Bombyx mori: one gene and its partners. The protein of the gene in region 3 interacts with the protein of the main gene of each other region in a biochemical or structural test. Links are inferred from orthologs where the notes say so. Each region holds a gene or a part of one and is shown on either strand. Other genes may lie near its edges.

What was found.
Region 1: the proteins of nuclear RNA export factor 1 (region 3) and nuclear pore glycoprotein p62 form a complex in vitro, tested with the Homo sapiens proteins (3 studies listed by BioGRID and IntAct). The link is inferred for Bombyx mori from reciprocal best matches to the Homo sapiens genes NXF1 and NUP62.
Region 2: the proteins of nuclear RNA export factor 1 (region 3) and ALY form a complex in vitro, tested with the Homo sapiens proteins (2 studies listed by BioGRID and IntAct). The link is inferred for Bombyx mori from reciprocal best matches to the Homo sapiens genes NXF1 and ALYREF.
Region 4: the proteins of nuclear RNA export factor 1 (region 3) and GTP-binding nuclear protein Ran form a complex in vitro, tested with the Homo sapiens proteins (2 studies listed by BioGRID). The link is inferred for Bombyx mori from reciprocal best matches to the Homo sapiens genes NXF1 and RAN.

The regions. Positions count from the first base shown.
Region 1 is NC_085134.1:6,717,911-6,722,044, forward strand, and holds the start of nuclear pore glycoprotein p62, read left to right. Parts: upstream 1-1,311; 5' UTR 1,312-1,488; coding exon 1,489-1,555; intron 1,556-1,742; coding exon 1,743-1,799; intron 1,800-2,080; coding exon 2,081-2,182; intron 2,183-2,669; coding exon 2,670-2,797; intron 2,798-3,385; coding exon 3,386-3,464; intron 3,465-3,838; coding exon 3,839-3,963; intron 3,964-4,134. UniProt on the Homo sapiens protein: Essential component of the nuclear pore complex. The N-terminal is probably involved in nucleocytoplasmic transport.
Region 2 is NC_085114.1:10,512,174-10,516,397, forward strand, and holds ALY, read right to left. Parts: upstream 2,800-4,224; 5' UTR 2,743-2,799; coding exon 2,539-2,742; intron 1,889-2,538; coding exon 1,672-1,888; intron 1,594-1,671; coding exon 1,399-1,593; intron 767-1,398; coding exon 618-766; 3' UTR 514-617; downstream 1-513. Other genes in the region: replication factor C (activator 1) 5, read left to right, coding at 3,704-3,738, 3,827-3,891. UniProt on the Homo sapiens protein: Functions as an mRNA export adapter; component of the transcription/export (TREX) complex which is thought to couple mRNA transcription, processing and nuclear export, and specifically associates with spliced mRNA and not with unspliced pre-mRNA.
Region 3 is NC_085124.1:4,529,717-4,533,975, reverse strand, and holds the start of nuclear RNA export factor 1, read right to left. Parts: upstream 2,805-4,259; 5' UTR 2,420-2,804; coding exon 2,362-2,419; intron 2,147-2,361; coding exon 1,553-2,146; intron 1,230-1,552; coding exon 1,039-1,229; intron 604-1,038; coding exon 494-603; intron 1-493.
Region 4 is NC_085116.1:5,374,873-5,378,543, reverse strand, and holds GTP-binding nuclear protein Ran, read right to left. Parts: upstream 2,284-3,671; 5' UTR 2,208-2,283; intron 1,842-2,207; 5' UTR 1,815-1,841; coding exon 1,389-1,814; intron 1,288-1,388; coding exon 1,072-1,287; 3' UTR 543-1,071; downstream 1-542. Other genes in the region: syntaxin-1A, read left to right, coding at 3,404-3,436. UniProt on the Homo sapiens protein: GTPase involved in nucleocytoplasmic transport, participating both to the import and the export from the nucleus of proteins and RNAs. Switches between a cytoplasmic GDP- and a nuclear GTP-bound state by nucleotide exchange and GTP hydrolysis.

The DNA of each region.
Region 1 (4,134 bases), on a different chromosome or scaffold from region 3:
CCATGTTTTGTGGCCAGATGACGTCACAGTGGCACGAAATTTTGGTTGACGTTTCATTTCCATAGGTTTCCTACTTCATTGGTCACTATGGAACCTACGAGAATAAGTACGGCAGATAAAATATTAAGTAGGTAGGTATGCAGGTAGTCAACTTACTTTGAAAACTTTACGCCTCATATTTGTGCACTTGTATACAATGGATTGTTATTCAAAAAGTTTAAAACCACACACACCACGTCTGAGATAGTTTTTTCTTTTCTTCTCAGTCGTACACTCCTAGCGGAGTGGTCGTGGTTATGTACGTCTTATTTAGACATTTCCATAACTCTCATGCGAAAATAGTAGCAGTGGCTTAATAAAATAAATATAAATAATTAAAATAGTGTTCTGATATAGTAATGCGAGCATGAAACACGAATCTACCTGCCGAGATAAACAGTGGCTAACAAGGTAACCAAGGGCCCCAGGGCAAATAAAAAAATGGGGCCCCACTACTATGTAAGCGGATTAGGTTTTATGAAATAAAAATAATATGAAATATACAAATACTTTAAAAATGCTAAGCTACTTAAGCTCTTTTTTTGATTGCTGACGTGGCAACGCATCGCCATGCACAAGCGACTGTCTCATTTTATTATTGTATTTTTCATATTCCACACCAATTTTCTATTCTAAGCTATCCATATAAACATCTATACTTGTACAAAGTAATATCAATGTTTCAAATCTACAAGCTTTACCGCGATGGCTCGTTTTTTCCTTTCCTTTGGAACACACCATCAAACTCGACTTTGGAACAAACTTGCTTAATTCAGGATGTGGCAAAAGATATGGATGATTTCATCTAAAATTGTTATTGTTATCATCCAACTGATGTTATCAAAAGCGATTTAAAGGTATGGAAGAGATTGCCTTTAAAAATCACATACAGTAAATTGATTTGAATTGAACAGAGTATAGAGAGTTGGATTGGAAAGATAATTTACGGTTTCACATTTATCGTTAGGATTCATATTAGGTGACGAGAAAAAATGGGGTAATTAAACATTGTTAGGTATTTTTTATACTATGTACTATAAGAATATAGTTTTAGCTTTTAAATGCCTTATCTTTCTTCTTTTGCCACGATTATCTTTCATATATTTTTCCTTTCCGACACTCATTTTCTAGAATTGGTTGCGATGAGAACACGGGAAAAAATATGCTTGCAATCTGCCTGGCTTGAGATCTCACACAAGGTTTTCAATTCCAGTTTAAATCAATTGGCTACGTTTCTTTTGCCAGTCTGATCGGACATAACAAAAAGTGACTTTTGACACATTGAAGTTTGAACGAATGATTAATATCTCGATAAATCTTACTGTTGGTAAATTTTCTAACGGCGGCAAACAGTAGTGCTTACTAAACATTTATTGAAATATCTAAATATACATACTTCCATCATTTAAACTATTTTACTTTTACATAAGTTTATCTATAGTTTACAAAATGAGTTTTTCTTTTGGAACTACTACAACGTCGTCTAATACTTTTGGTACACCAACACCATCAACAGGTAAATTCTTTTTGGTTTGATTATCATGTTCCAATTTGAAGCTTTATAAATTGAAATACTCTACAATACGATTCGAACTACGATATATATGTTTTTTTAAACAATAATTAAATTGTCAATGTAAACAATATAACCACACTTTTTTCACGTTAAGATCAAAAAATTAATTAATTGGATGTAATTACAGGATTTTCATTTGGCAGCGGTGACGCTTCAAAGCCGTTATTTGGTGGATCCAACACAGGTACGATGCGTACAAAAACTTCCGGTAACAAATACAAGCGATATTTTAAATCTGAATTTTTCTGTTACAAGTAACAAAAATAGACAGTAAAAATTTAAGGGACTAAGGGAATTTAAGGCACCACTGTTAATAAATCAAGATTTATTAACAGTGGTGCTGGTTTCTTAAACCAAGAGACATGGATATTTTCAGAAAAGATGAAGTACACTCATTAGATATCCAAACATGAATCGAATCCCAAAAGCATATAGAAAATGCAAATAATATTTTTAATCTCTCAGAAAACAAAGCAACATTCAGCTTCACTAGTCCCACAACAAGTGCACCAGTATTTGGCAGTTTTGCATTTGGTGCTAAAACAACAAATGCAGCACCTTCACCATGTAAGTAATGGCCTTTGTTTACTTAACGCTGAATATACTGTATGGTTGTAATTAAACCATAGCCAAAAGACATGCAAAAGATATTTAAACAACTATTAACACTCCTAGCTGACATGTGAAAAATTATTTAAAAAATTATAATTATCCCTCAAAGGGGTTCTTAAATGATCAATATTTCATAAATATTTATTTACACTCAGATCCTATGTTCTAAATACAATTTTCATACAAGTTAAAGTTAAATTAAACTCCAGGAATGAATCTAACACTAAAATAGAATTGACCTACAAATAACAAAATAACATAGTGCTTAATCAAAATTATCACCACACTACTGAATCACAAAATGTAAGAGCCTTGAACCTTTCCTGCCCTACTCTTTATAGACAATGAGAACCTACCTGCTCAAAAAGAGGCTTACATCAAACATTACGAAAAACATTCTACTCATAACAAATGCCTCTCACACTTATGTATTGTATGGCAGTTTCATCTCCATCGACAACGACTACAACTGCAGGCTTTGGAGCGAATAAGCCAACACCCTTTGGAGGTTTCACTTCACCTCCTAATCAGACAGTTGGCAGTTCTGCCTTTGGGCAAGCAACAAATCAGGTGTGTACAGTAATTTTGTTGGGAGCCTGTTAAACAAACTATTCGTCAGTTTGGTGTGATGTCTCCAGCTGCGTTTATCGATCAATACTGTATTTTGCATTTCACCAAATTAAGTGGAAAAAAAATCAGTTATATTTGTAAATTTTACTGGTGGTAGGACCTCTTGTGAGTCCGCGCGAATAGGTACCACCGCCCTACCTATTTCTGCCGTGAAGCAGTAATGCGTTTCGGTTTGAAGGGTGGGGCAGCCGTTGTAACTATACTGAGATCTTAGAACTTATATCTCATGGTGGGTGGCGCATTTACGTTGTAGATGTCCATGGGCTCCAGTAACCACTTAACACCAGGTGGGCTGTGAGCTCTTCCACCCATCTAAGACATAAAAAAAAAAAAAAACAATGTTCTGCCATTGTTAAATTGTTGTGAAAAAAATGATATCTTTTCTTTCTTAGTTTGAGAATGCTTACATTCTACTTATCTTTTCTTTCTTAGTTCGAGAATGCTTACATTCTACATAACTCTTATATGTCGTTCACTGTGCTCCTTTGCATGTGTTAATGCCTTGTAATGCTAGTGAATATTTCACAGAATGCAGGACAGGCCCAGAATCTGTCGTTTGGTGCAACCACCACAGCACCACCGGCATTCGGTACACCTGCCACACAAGGTTGGTTATAAATATAATAATATTATAAATTTATTATTATAATGAATATATAAATGATATTATACTAAAATGACGATTATAATGGTAACACAGCTTAAGACCTGGATTGACAAATATAATTATTTTGACATGGCAGATGACATGGATAATTATAAATTTAAAATTAAAAAAAAGGATAATAATATTGCTTTTGTAAATGCACTAGCGCTCAGCTTTTGCTATTATGAAAATTGGACTTAAAGTTCAGAAAAGTTTTAAGTCATTGTTCCTTACAAACGAAATTTATAATTACTTCACCAGTACGTCTTGCTTGCATCAGTAATAAAGTGAACAGAAATTTTAAGAAAAGGAAATGTATGAACATGTTGTTTTAGCTGCTGCCCCAGCATTCGGTTCCAGTGCAAATACAGGTTTTAGCTTCGGGAAGCCGGCATCAACGACAGCTGGCTTTAGTTTTTCAACACCTACATCTGGTTTCTCAGCACCGCAAGCTAGTACTGTAAGTTTTTGTTACAATCCCAAAAAAGAAATCGTTTTTAGATCATCTCCAGTTAATTCCTTTGTTTGTCTGTTATTTTTGTTGTTAAGTTTAAGGTACAAAGGTAACTATTCTAAATCCAACTTCTGATTACAATAATTTGTTGAAACCAGGAGACAATGTCAGTCTGTA
Region 2 (4,224 bases), on a different chromosome or scaffold from region 3:
TGTGTGGCAGGGAGCTTCTGTCCAAGCAGTGGGGTTTGCCCGAGGCCCGTTCCGTGCCCCTGTAAGGGGGTACGACAACTCCTTTTATAAATGAACTTTGATGTTGCCGTAGCTTTAAATATGACTGTTGATGTGCTGAAATTGAGTGTAATGACCATGAAAATTTTTTGAAAAAGTATTTCTCATTGTTTTTGACAGACTTCCACATTGAACGAATAACATCACCAGTAGCTACGTATAATTTTTAACCTACACAGGTAGTGATGTTTGGAGGTGGAGCAGTGATACGCTTAAGATCTAGGCAGTTTCCAAATCGGCAGATGCCGAATGCAGATGCATTCACTGTAATACAGTTGAATTACGATAACCTCCTTAAAAATGTTTACACTTGTGTACACAACTACAGACTAAAAAGAAATCTATACAAGAAAATTTCAAATCTGGGTTTATTTATCCAATTTAATACATGTACTAGAATTATAATTTCTTTATAATTCGTAGTCTTTTATTAGTATAACCTATACTTTTACAATTAATCTAGAACATTGAGAACACAAAGCTTATTCATTCATATTTTAAGATAAAACTGAGTGTCTATGCACATTCTCATTAGTTATTCACTTGATTTCTTTCACATATGCATCAAGCTCTGCATCTAATTGTTCTGCAGTAGGTACTGGTCGTTTGCCTCTGCCTGCACCACCACGTCCTCTTCTGTTTCCCCCACGTGCTCCACTATTGCTTTGATTTCTAATTCCTCCACCTCCTTCAAAAATAAAATAATTAATGGATTTCTAGTAATTTGTAACTTGCAAACAGTAAAGTGAAAATGTACAACAAGAACTAGTGGGAAAATATCAGTTTTAAAAAAAGTAATTAATTTTAATAATGTTTTTTTAAATGAAGGATTTAGGGCCGGAGGCCTTTCCAGTTACACCACGAATGCTTAGCCAGAAGAGAAGGGTTTGCTAACAGTTGAACACCTCCGAAAGAGGTCTAACACAATTCATGGGCAGCTGCTTTGCAAATGAATCTACTACCAGATCAGTAGTCTGTCTATGGATTAGGTTGCACATCAAACTCTTTAGAGTTCAATGAGTATGGTTAGTGTTAAAGCAGGTGTCTAATGCAAGAGTTATTGGATCTGATGGATCCGTAATTATGTGTCTAGGACATCAACAGTTAGTCTCTGCTGTGGGTAGAAATAGTCAGCGGCAGCAACAATATGGCGATTATCATGACCAATGGCCTTATTGAAGTATCTTTCCGACAATAACTAGGTGTTTCCAGATTGATTCGACTAAGAGGCCATCTTGTATATGGTGATTTGTCACAAATCACAATGATGTAATTTGTTATCACTCCTCCCATACAAACAAATCCTGGAAAATATCTTACCTCTTTTAGGATTGTTTCGTATAGTACCTCCCACACTCGCACCACCAATTCGATTTCTAGCCTCGGGCCTTAAAGTATTGATTTCAGATGTTGCCAATTGTATATTCATTGCCCGTCCATCAAGTGGCACTCCGTTATACTGTTTCATAGCCTTCACAGCATCTGCTTTTCTTTCAAACACAACATCTGCAGTACCTAAAAAAATTTAAAAATATCTTGTATGATGAAATACTTAATGGAACAAACTAAGTTTTTATGCTTTGTGATACATACCTAAAGATCTACCTGACCGATCATAATGTACAGATGCACTTTTGAGGATGCCAAATTCCGAAAATAGTTCCTTTATATCTGAATCTGATACTCCAAAGTCCAAATTGGATACAAGCAGCTTGGTAGGACCAGTTGTTATGGTCCCACTGTTTCTTTGAAGTTTCCTCTCACCAAAATCATTGAACATATCATGTTTCCAAGTGCTGTTCACATCACCCTGAAAAGGTCATCCTTCATAGAGCTAGCCATGTGGCTACTCTCTATGCCTCCTTTGAATATAATAAAAACTCAAAGCTTAGGCACTAAAATTAATACATTGACATCTGAACCACTTGATAAAATAACATTTGATGTAGTTTACATGTTTTTTTTCGAAAATTAAAATATAGAACTGTTTTATCACTTTCATCACACAGACACAAGACTAATAAGTTATGAAGCACAACCAGTCTCAGCCGTCCATGGAGTCCATTTATTTACTTTTCAACTCCTGAAGTCAATTCTATAAATTGGTCAAAACTGCACTGTAGACATCTCCACAAAAGTAACGTTTTGCTCGAATTCATTACACTTTTATATCAGCATCCATCATAGAATTTTCCGGCAGATGTAGGTAAACAATGCAAAACAAAAACGTTGATGGAGATAACAATATGGTTGCTGGGATTATGGTTTCAAGTTGAAAATAGGTCGGATACGAATAAAATAAGGGTCTTGATTTGAATCAAAGTGTCAAATTTCGTCTAAAACTATTTCAACAAGATGGTCCATATGGTTGCTTGACTTTTTGAGAACAAATTAGATACATTGATGCGTCACATTTGCCCGCCATTTGTAATTTTAGAATCATCTAATTATTGGAATTACCCTCGAATAGTTGGTAGATTTCGTTATGCCTCCACGATTTCTACCTCGTTGTACACCACCAGAGCGGTTGCTACGAAATCCAGCACCGCCTCCACGTCCTGTTCTTTTGTTTGCATCAAATTTTCTTCCAGCACCACCTCCAATCCTTGTCTTTTTGTTGGCTTTTATAATATCATCCAGTGCCATTTCAATTTGATCAACCATGGTGATTATTTGAAATTCTAAATATTTTTTCTATGAAAATTAAGTCAAAAACAAAAACAATCCTTTTAGAACTCTTCCTTCCCAAGTAGACGGTGACAAAATGGCCGAAGAAAAGATTCGTTATTGCCAGATTGCTAATATTAGTTCAACAGTAGATTGAAAAAAATTGTTGAGCTTTAAATTTGGTAGAAATTATAGTCAATAAAGACTATCTTACACATCTGTCTTAGTTTATTTTATTTTACATTTACCAGTTGATTTGGTCAAATCTTTCTGTTTAAAAAATTAAGCGCTTAGTTTTAATCTTTAACTAGGTAATCAAATCACGTAATGCTAATGCACTCAAAATTCAAATATTAAGAAGTGTATTATTTATGGTTCGAGATTTTTGGCGCGAGGAGTGAAGTTGTGTGTTTTGTTTTATTTTGTCTATTTAGTGTTTCTCCAAGTTTAAATGTGTAATAACGGTGGTTTATAACCTGTTTAATATCTGTGAAAGTGCACAAATGTGGGAAAATTGAAACAAAGCCGCTGAGCATAACTTTTTGGGATCCTCTAAAAAGTCCACTGAAAAAGTCTCAGTAAATGACTACCATTTTACTGAGATTATATTTCATCCCATATCATCTCATCTCATTTCATTTCATTCCATTTCATTTTCATTTCATTTCATTTCATGTTATGTTTCATATTAATCAACTTCATTTCATTTCATAAATCATTTTACATATAAAAAATATATAAAAGATTACGCTTTATGGTATGATACCTTTGCCTTTCCAATAATATATTAAGTGTATAATCTATGAATAAAACTGCTACTACTATCTATGGTTCGAATTTTGAATTTTATAGTTTCCTCAAGCTTGTAAACCAATCCACAATTTAAATAAATCGTTTTTATTAAAGTATCTGTACTTACATACTAGAAGCGATTTAAAAATACTGTTATAAAAACAATATGACTGTTGGGGAAACAGGCCAAAATTTGCCATGGTATGAACTATCATTAACAATGATTTAAACAAAAAAATCATAACTCAATATATTTTACTACGACGATTAACACTTTGTTTTTACGCAGGGTTGAAAAATATCGCCCAAAAAGATTGGATGATTTAGTATCTCATGATGATATAATAAAAACAAGTAAGTATAAATTTCTGAAACTAATGATCACATTATTTTAAAGAGACTATCAAATTTAAGGCTATAAAAATTGGACTTGAATCAGGTTGATATTAAGTTGCTAACCGTAATACGAATACCTTATAACAGTTAATGCATAAACCCCCTCTTCGTACCAGTATGTTTTGTACATTGTAACATAAAGTAAAGGATTTTTCTTTTTGTTCTTCTAGAGTACTTTGTTTACATCTTAATTGAGGCAGCAGCCTTCCAACCACTACATCCCTATTTTTGTGAGATTAGGTACTAGCCCTAGTACAGTAATATATGTATTTACTGAGATTAGAATATTGT
Region 3 (4,259 bases):
TTACATATAATGCTGTGAGTGACCTATTCCTAGGTAAATATTTTTAAATGTTACTATTTTGTATCAATTATTTTAATACTCTGATAAATATGTGAGTCAGGGGAATATGGAAATAAGAAGGCTCATTGTCTGTTGGGACATTTCCCAAGAAATTTTATGGAATTATCCTGCCAATTTTTTGCTATGTAAAATTATGTCTTTTAAAAAGATTAGTCAACTATAAGTATATTTTATTAAGGGATATTTTACTGATTTTGTTATAAACAGTATAGGAATATAATATATGTTATCACAAATTTAACTTATGATAAAAAACATCTTTACTCATTTCATCTACTTAAACAAGCACAATTCAGCAACAGTACTGCCACAGTTTGATTTTATATAGCTGTCAAGTTTCCATGGCTTAACGCTAATGGTAAACTGTGTTATAGGATATTCAAAATATCTTGGGGTGTGACCCCAAAGATACTGTCTACAACATTAGCGTTACCTTATGTAGATTTCGTGATCATGAAACCTGTTCACCAGTGGGTTTCCTTTGAGGTATAGCTCAACTAGCGGTAATGATCTGATTGGGTCCAGTGATCCAAGGAATGGAATCTGGAAAAGGTTTAAATGATAATTAATGTACATTATTGGTTTTTTAATAGCATTCATATATTTTTAAAGATGTCTTTCGTTTACTACATTTATTTTATATTTTACTAATGTAATGCAAATGATGAGTTAGTAGAAAAATACTTACACTACACAAAATTGAGAAAAATGTCTACCTTAACAATCAGATATAGTGCATGTGAAAACAAATTAATTGCAAAGATTGTTAGTTGGGGTATATAATAAAGAAAAAAAAAACCACAAATTTATTTGTCAAATGTAGATAGGGATTTTGTATCCTACCTAATTACTGTTAGCTTGTGGGGCTATTCAAACTATGCCTAGATAGGAATGTGCACTGAAGATGATGATATGAATATGAATCAGTCATTTGAAATTTTACACTGGTCTAAATTGTCGTAAATGTATTTGTCTTACCCTATTATCGCCCATATACAATATTTTCAAATTCTTGAGCTTTGAAGACAAAACCTTGAGATGCTGCAAACCATGAAGCTTATTATCATTTAGGTTCAAAGCTTCTATGTCTGGAATATTCTCTGCTATTATATCTATAGCAGCCAACATTATCATTGGACGGAACAGTGCACAAAATATATCTTCTAGATCTGAAAAATAGTATTATTTCAATATTCACCCAGTAAAACTATTGTCTTTACATTCTATAAAATAACTGGTTATAAATATTGTTGTTACATTGCTGCATTATAAAAGGGCAAACCAGTATGCGCTCTTAAATAGATTATAGCTTATGTGGGCCCATAAGAAATTATTCCCAAAAGTCTAGCTTATTATATCTCTAATTGAATGAAAAAGAAATTATAATATGTATTACTAAGCTGTTTACTAACAAGTTGAATTTTAGACATTGCAATGAATGTATTGTAAATAATGAATATGTAAAGCAATAACAATATAATTGGACAATCACCTGGATCAGCATGGAATTTTGTTAAATCTAATGCCTTAGTTGTAGCATTATACCTCTTCGCCATTGTCAATTTCATCTTCTCTTTCATGGCAGCGTCAATGGCCATGTTTGGAACAGCATTCCTCACAATAACAATTAACTTAAAACCATCTGACATAGTGATCTTTCTATCAGCATTATAAAGTTTTTCAGCTGTTTTGACATCATCAACATAGAATACTGCAGCATTTCCATTGACTTTATAGTAATGTGGAATGAATATGTCGGGTGAAAGAAAACCCAACAAGGCTCGGAGGATAACATCTTTTTCATGTTTTGCTCCATATGGAATGATTATTTGGTACCAAGGCAGTACACCAGGAATAAATTTCTTTTTAGTGTGTCCGTGGCTTCCTTGCGGAGCTGGAGAGTACATTCTCCCACGTCCCCTGAAAGAACTTTTCCGGACCGGTCCTTGAAGAGCAGAACTACCCATGTCAATATCATCATCAAGGAGGGCTAAAGGATTTTTCCAAGTTCGAAATTTATTTTTTCCTTTAGCTCCAGGTTTAAAACTGACATGTCTCGGCACACTATTGACACGGTCATCGTGTTCTGAAAGTATATCATTTGTAAATCAAGTATTAATAGTCAATAACTTTAAAAACTCATATATTATTCATTGGTATCATGAACTTTATGATGCATGATTTTGCCTTTATGTATTAAACATAAGTAGCGCTAACAACAATGGAATACATTATTTTTTGATAATTCACTGTAGGAACTACAAAATCACAACAGAATATAAATAAAAGTGTTCCACTTACCAAAATGGTCAGTATCAGCCTTCCAATTTCTATTCCTTCCACCGCCACGTTTTGGCATCGTGTCGAAGAAGCTTTAATCACCAGTATACAAATACCGTGAAAGTAGTTCTTTAAGGTTTCCTTATTTTCTCACATGCGTGTAGAATAGTTAACTGAGATAAAGCCAATGATAATTGAATAATAGCTTTTTTTAATTAACAACGCAAATTACAAAAGAGTTAAACAACTTTGATGGTGTAAAATTACCCTACACTCAATAAATTTTAAGTATGGTTAGTTAAATTATATATTTGGACGTTATTAGCAATCCAAATATTTCCAAAATTAATCACCAAAAACTAAATAGCGTCTCTCTTGTGAATCTTAAACCTGTTCTTTTTCAATGTGAAACAAAATGGATGGCGACATTTGTAGATTATACACCTGTATAACCTATGGATTACACTTCGTCTTTATTTTTGGCTCCGTACGGTTTGTGCATTAGCCAGCGTCAAGTAAAAGATTTTTATGTTTCGCTGTTTTAATTATTGAAAATAGTTTATGAATAATAAAAAAAACGAAGGAAGGGTCTCAAAGGAAATGTCATATTTAAAAATATAATTTTAAAAAAAGTAAGGAGTTTATTGAAAAAATGTTTATTACATATTAAAATACACTGTTTTGGAATTTATTTTTTAAAAATGACATCGTCGAAATGTAAACCGTTGCGTTCAGGGCATTCGTTTAATCGAGCACTAAAATTGCCTATGACGGCTCGGCAGGTGTTCTCCGTGATGGCTTTCGTGATAGATATTTTCTTTTAATTGTGTGTGAAAGTCGATTTGTTGGTGTAAACTTTGGATTTGATATAACCCCACAGGAAAAAGTCCATAGATGTCAAATCGGGACTGCGTGGAGGCCAACTTATGTCACCTCTCCTGGAGATCAATTTGCCAGGAAAAAATTGACCTCTGACCAGTATCCTGAAGTTTTAATTCTTGCACCAACTGAATTTGTACGGGTGCAGTTTTAAATCTTTATGCAAAATAGGGCATCACGACGATCTGTGCACGTTTAAGGCCACCGCACGCTTCTCAATTGAAAGGTTCAGATCGTCCCGAATAGACTGGGCAACACTGTCTACGTTTTCGAGTGTTCTCGAAAATCTTGGACGACCGGATTTTGGTTTTTCCAGGTTATAGTAATAAGCAGAGAAACGAAAATTATAAAAGAACGAAATACGAACCTAACATTACAAATGGTGAAAAATAAAATTTATCAAAAAAGCAAATAAGCATAAAAAATGTCCCTGACAATGACTCGTCAGGGGAACGCACATAAATAAATAAATAAATAAATACTACCATAAGACGAATTGTTGCTGAAGGCAGATCTAACAGAGATGTATTTAGTACGCAGGGCAAAAAGAGGAAAGGTGGTAAAAATACTGCGCCTTCCTTATCTTCCTCTTCTGATAAAGACTTTTTTATGGATGTGCAGTATTTGGAACCATTTTTAAGTTTTTTTTTTTTTTATTTTTTTTTTATTGCTTAGATGGGTGGACGAGCTCACAGCCCACCTGGTGTTAAGTGGTTACTGGAGCCCATAGACATCTACAACGTAAATGCGCCACCCACCTCGAGATATAAGTTCTAAGGTCTCAGTATAGTTACAACGGCTACCCCACCCTTCGAACCGAAACGCATTACTGCTTCACGGCGGAAAATAGGCGGGGTGGTGGTACCTACCCGCGCGGACTCACAAGAGGTCCTACCACCAGTAATTACGCAAATTATAATTTTGCGGGTTTGATTTTTATTACACGATGTTATTCCTTCACCGTGGAAGTCAATCGTGAACATTTGTTGAGTACGTATTTCATTTGAAAAATTGGTACCCGCCTGCGGGATTCGAACACC
Region 4 (3,671 bases), on a different chromosome or scaffold from region 3:
CCGGTGAGCATGCACACCACCTCAAAGATGCAGTGGAATCCACAGCGCAGTCGCATTTTCGAGGATCAGAGCGTAACACCAAACCGGTGAACAATATAGTGCCATGAACCTCCACCACACCCAACGTCCGTGATTTTTTAGCGCCCCAGCGATTTCCAATCAGGACAGGGTTTTAAAGGAATAAACGACTAAAAAGTAACTTTCATTGCGACGGCAACCGCCCCGACTCGAGATACGCTTGAAAAAGCCTCAGAGCCAGCCATCAAGGGCACTAAAGGTCAAATCCCAGATATTGAAGGCATATGCATAATGTGTAGGTACCTACCTCATGAAACTTAATATTTAAGAGAGGCTAATAAATAATTTCTCAGTATTTCGTCATATATTTTCAATAATTAGATAGCTCATTAATATTGTGAACAACCACACAAATCAGATCACTTACAGATTCTACATATTATTATTATTAAAGAATCTTAAGTTACAACAACCCATTTTCTCCATTGCTTCTTTTATTTATATGATGAAGTAAAATCACGATCTCATTTTTTACACTTTATTTAAAAAGTATCACCACAATTCAATTTTTCAGTGAAATATTGTCAGTCCTTGCATGTAACAAAAGTAAGAAATAATTTCAAGATTATAATATTATGTGTGTACATGCTATTGGTTTACAAAGAGTTATCATACAAATTTGTTTACATGTGTATTATAAATAACAGTGACCAAATAGGCATTAACACATATTGGGCAATCAATGCAAAATGTTTTTATGACAACTGTAACAAAAATGAACTACACATAAATAATACTCATATTTTTGTTGCCTTTCAATATAAAAGTTTAGAATTACAGTTTTATAAAACTCAAACTAGAGGAGCTACGTGTTAAATTATCTAATGATTTTACATTAATTAAAGCAAATGATTGAAGGTTTAATAAGTTATTAAAATAATGTTCATTTGCGATCACCTAATGGAATGAAAAAATTTAGTGTACGCTACACTGAACACATTTGCATGATCCTCCAATCACAAAATGGGCACTGGGTACATCCGTTGATCATATTTATAAGTCTTCATCTTCCTCAGGAAGAGCAGTATTTTGTGCATCTTGAAGATCTTTTTCAATTTGGTTCTGCCATTGAGGATCCATTGTAACTTCTGGTGGCAGAAGGGCAGGCATGGCAACAAACTCAAGGTTACCGTCACCAATTAATTTTCTAGCTAGCCACAGGAAGGGTTTTTCGAAGTTGTAGTTTGACTTAGCAGAAATGTCGTAGTACTGAAAAAAATAATCAAGTTTGAAACAAAAATAATTACAAAGAATTTTAACATTTTGCCTTAAAATTAACTCTTAAATTGAATGAAAATAGTTTTATTTACCTGCAAATTCTTTTTCCTGTGGAAAACAATAGTTTTCGCCTTAACTTTTCTGTCTTTAATATCCACTTTGTTTCCGCACAAGACAATAGGGATACCTTCACATACACGGACCAAATCTCTATGCCAGTTAGGTACATTTTTGTACGTAACTCGAGAGGTTACGTCGAACATGATGATAGCACATTGTCCTTGAATATAGTATCCGTCTCTAAGACCACCAAACTTCTCTTGTCCGGCTGTGTCCCACACATTAAAACGAATTGGCCCGCGGTTCGTATGGAATACTAGAGGATGTACTTCGACACCCAGAGTCGCAACGTATTTTTTCTCGAACTCTCCAGTCAAATGTCTTTTGACAAAGGTTGTTTTGCCAGTACCACCATCTCCTACCAATACACACTTGAATGTGGGCATATCATCTGCCATTTTCGTTGTTTTATTGCTATTTTACTTCTGAAACAATGTGGTAAACTAAAATTAGGATATAGCCATAGAATGTTCTATGACGCACGGTTGACAGGTCGTTTCAATCGATCGTTCACTAGGTTTCGCGGAATACAAGAAATAATTCAACACTTTAAGCAGATTAAATTCATCACTGGGTACATAAATTGTGAGTTTGAATGAACTTGACAACTTGAATTTGTTTTAACTTTTCGGCGAATGGCGCTCAATCACTCTCATAGGAATTTAGCTCGAAGGTACCGAACTCTAAAGAGAAAAACTGAAAAACTACAACGCCAATAATATAAATATGGATATCAGTTTATTGGCAGTTTTTTATAGAACACAAACAAATAATTTTTTTAAAGGCTTTACCGTGATTGTATAAGAAAATCGAGATTTAACTCGTTCCAAAGCAAAGTCGTTACGGCTCACAATGGCGTCACTTGACTAAGCGGAAGATTACATACAATGACAATTTTGACATTGACAAGCACAGTGAATTAAGAGTCAGTGTGAGGTCTTTTTAAATTTATGAAAGCCACGTAAAACTATTTCAAATGTTTAAAAAAATATTAATTTGCATTTTATATACTAACCTTTCAATCAGATATATTTTGTAAATGAGTTAATTTCTATTTGGGTAACAGTATTTAAAATTAATAATATAAGCCGTATAATGCGCTGTTTTGACTACAGGGTATTTGACGTCACTGGTATTTCGAAACCACTACGCCCCCTATAGCTTACAAATTCAAACATTTTATATTCAACATTGCCATCTTAGTGGTTTTGCCAACAAAATTGGCAATTATGACTCCCAAAAAAATATAGCATAAAGCTTATTTTGTATTAATGGTTTTGTATTAATTTTCTATTTTAATTTGCTCATCATGAGTGCCATTCATGAACACACGCTATACACAAATTTTCTTTCAATAAGAAATGGTAAATGCCCGCGGGAATTCTATCGGCCACAAAGACTTCGTAAGATCGTCTTTTTCCTCTTTACACTATTAAAATTTTATAAAATCACTCTTGCTTCTCGATGGATTTTTTCCATCTTCGGCCTTTCGATAGATTTTCGAACGAAGAAGAACAAGCAACTATTCTTCTTCGTGCAAAGTTTCTTTCTGAGATCCTTCCTATATGAATATATCGTTGCTGAGTTTCGTCTTGCGGCCTTCTTAAAACGTACTCCTCTTTTAATTTTAATGAGCCTGGTCGCCATACTATATCCATCTCACAATCTTCATTTCACAGTAGCGCACGAAGCTTATAAGTTGTTTCTTAGCATGTGTGCCTTGTTTTTTTTATATTTAATATTAGTGGATCCTAGAAAAAAATTATGGCAACATTAAATTTGACAGCATGAGACAGGTAGCGAGTGTAGCGACCAGCGATAAGTGAAGTTTTGCTCGTCTGAACGTTTTGTATGGTATCGATTTTTTGAGTGAAGTGAACGTAGTGTTCGTGTCCTTTAGTTTAGTGACGTTTGTTAGAAAAATATCTTTGAATGGGATTGTGTAACGAGAAAAAACGTTTACTTGGTGCGTGATTCTCTGTAAAGGATGACGAAGGACAGGTTAGCGGCGCTTCAAGCGGTAAGTAGATTTGTAGTTTCTCTCTTCTCGCACATCTAATGGTCTTGCCGATGACCTCGAATTCATGATGAAATACCGATAATAAGGTGCCTATCGTGAGTTTGAAGGATATTTTCATAGTTTCTTCTTTTTAAGAACTACACATCTTTGGACAAACCAAATATACGAGGGTTCTTTATTCTGGTCGCCCCACCCCGTACTCGACTTGGATGAATGATAGCTGTCATTCATGCGA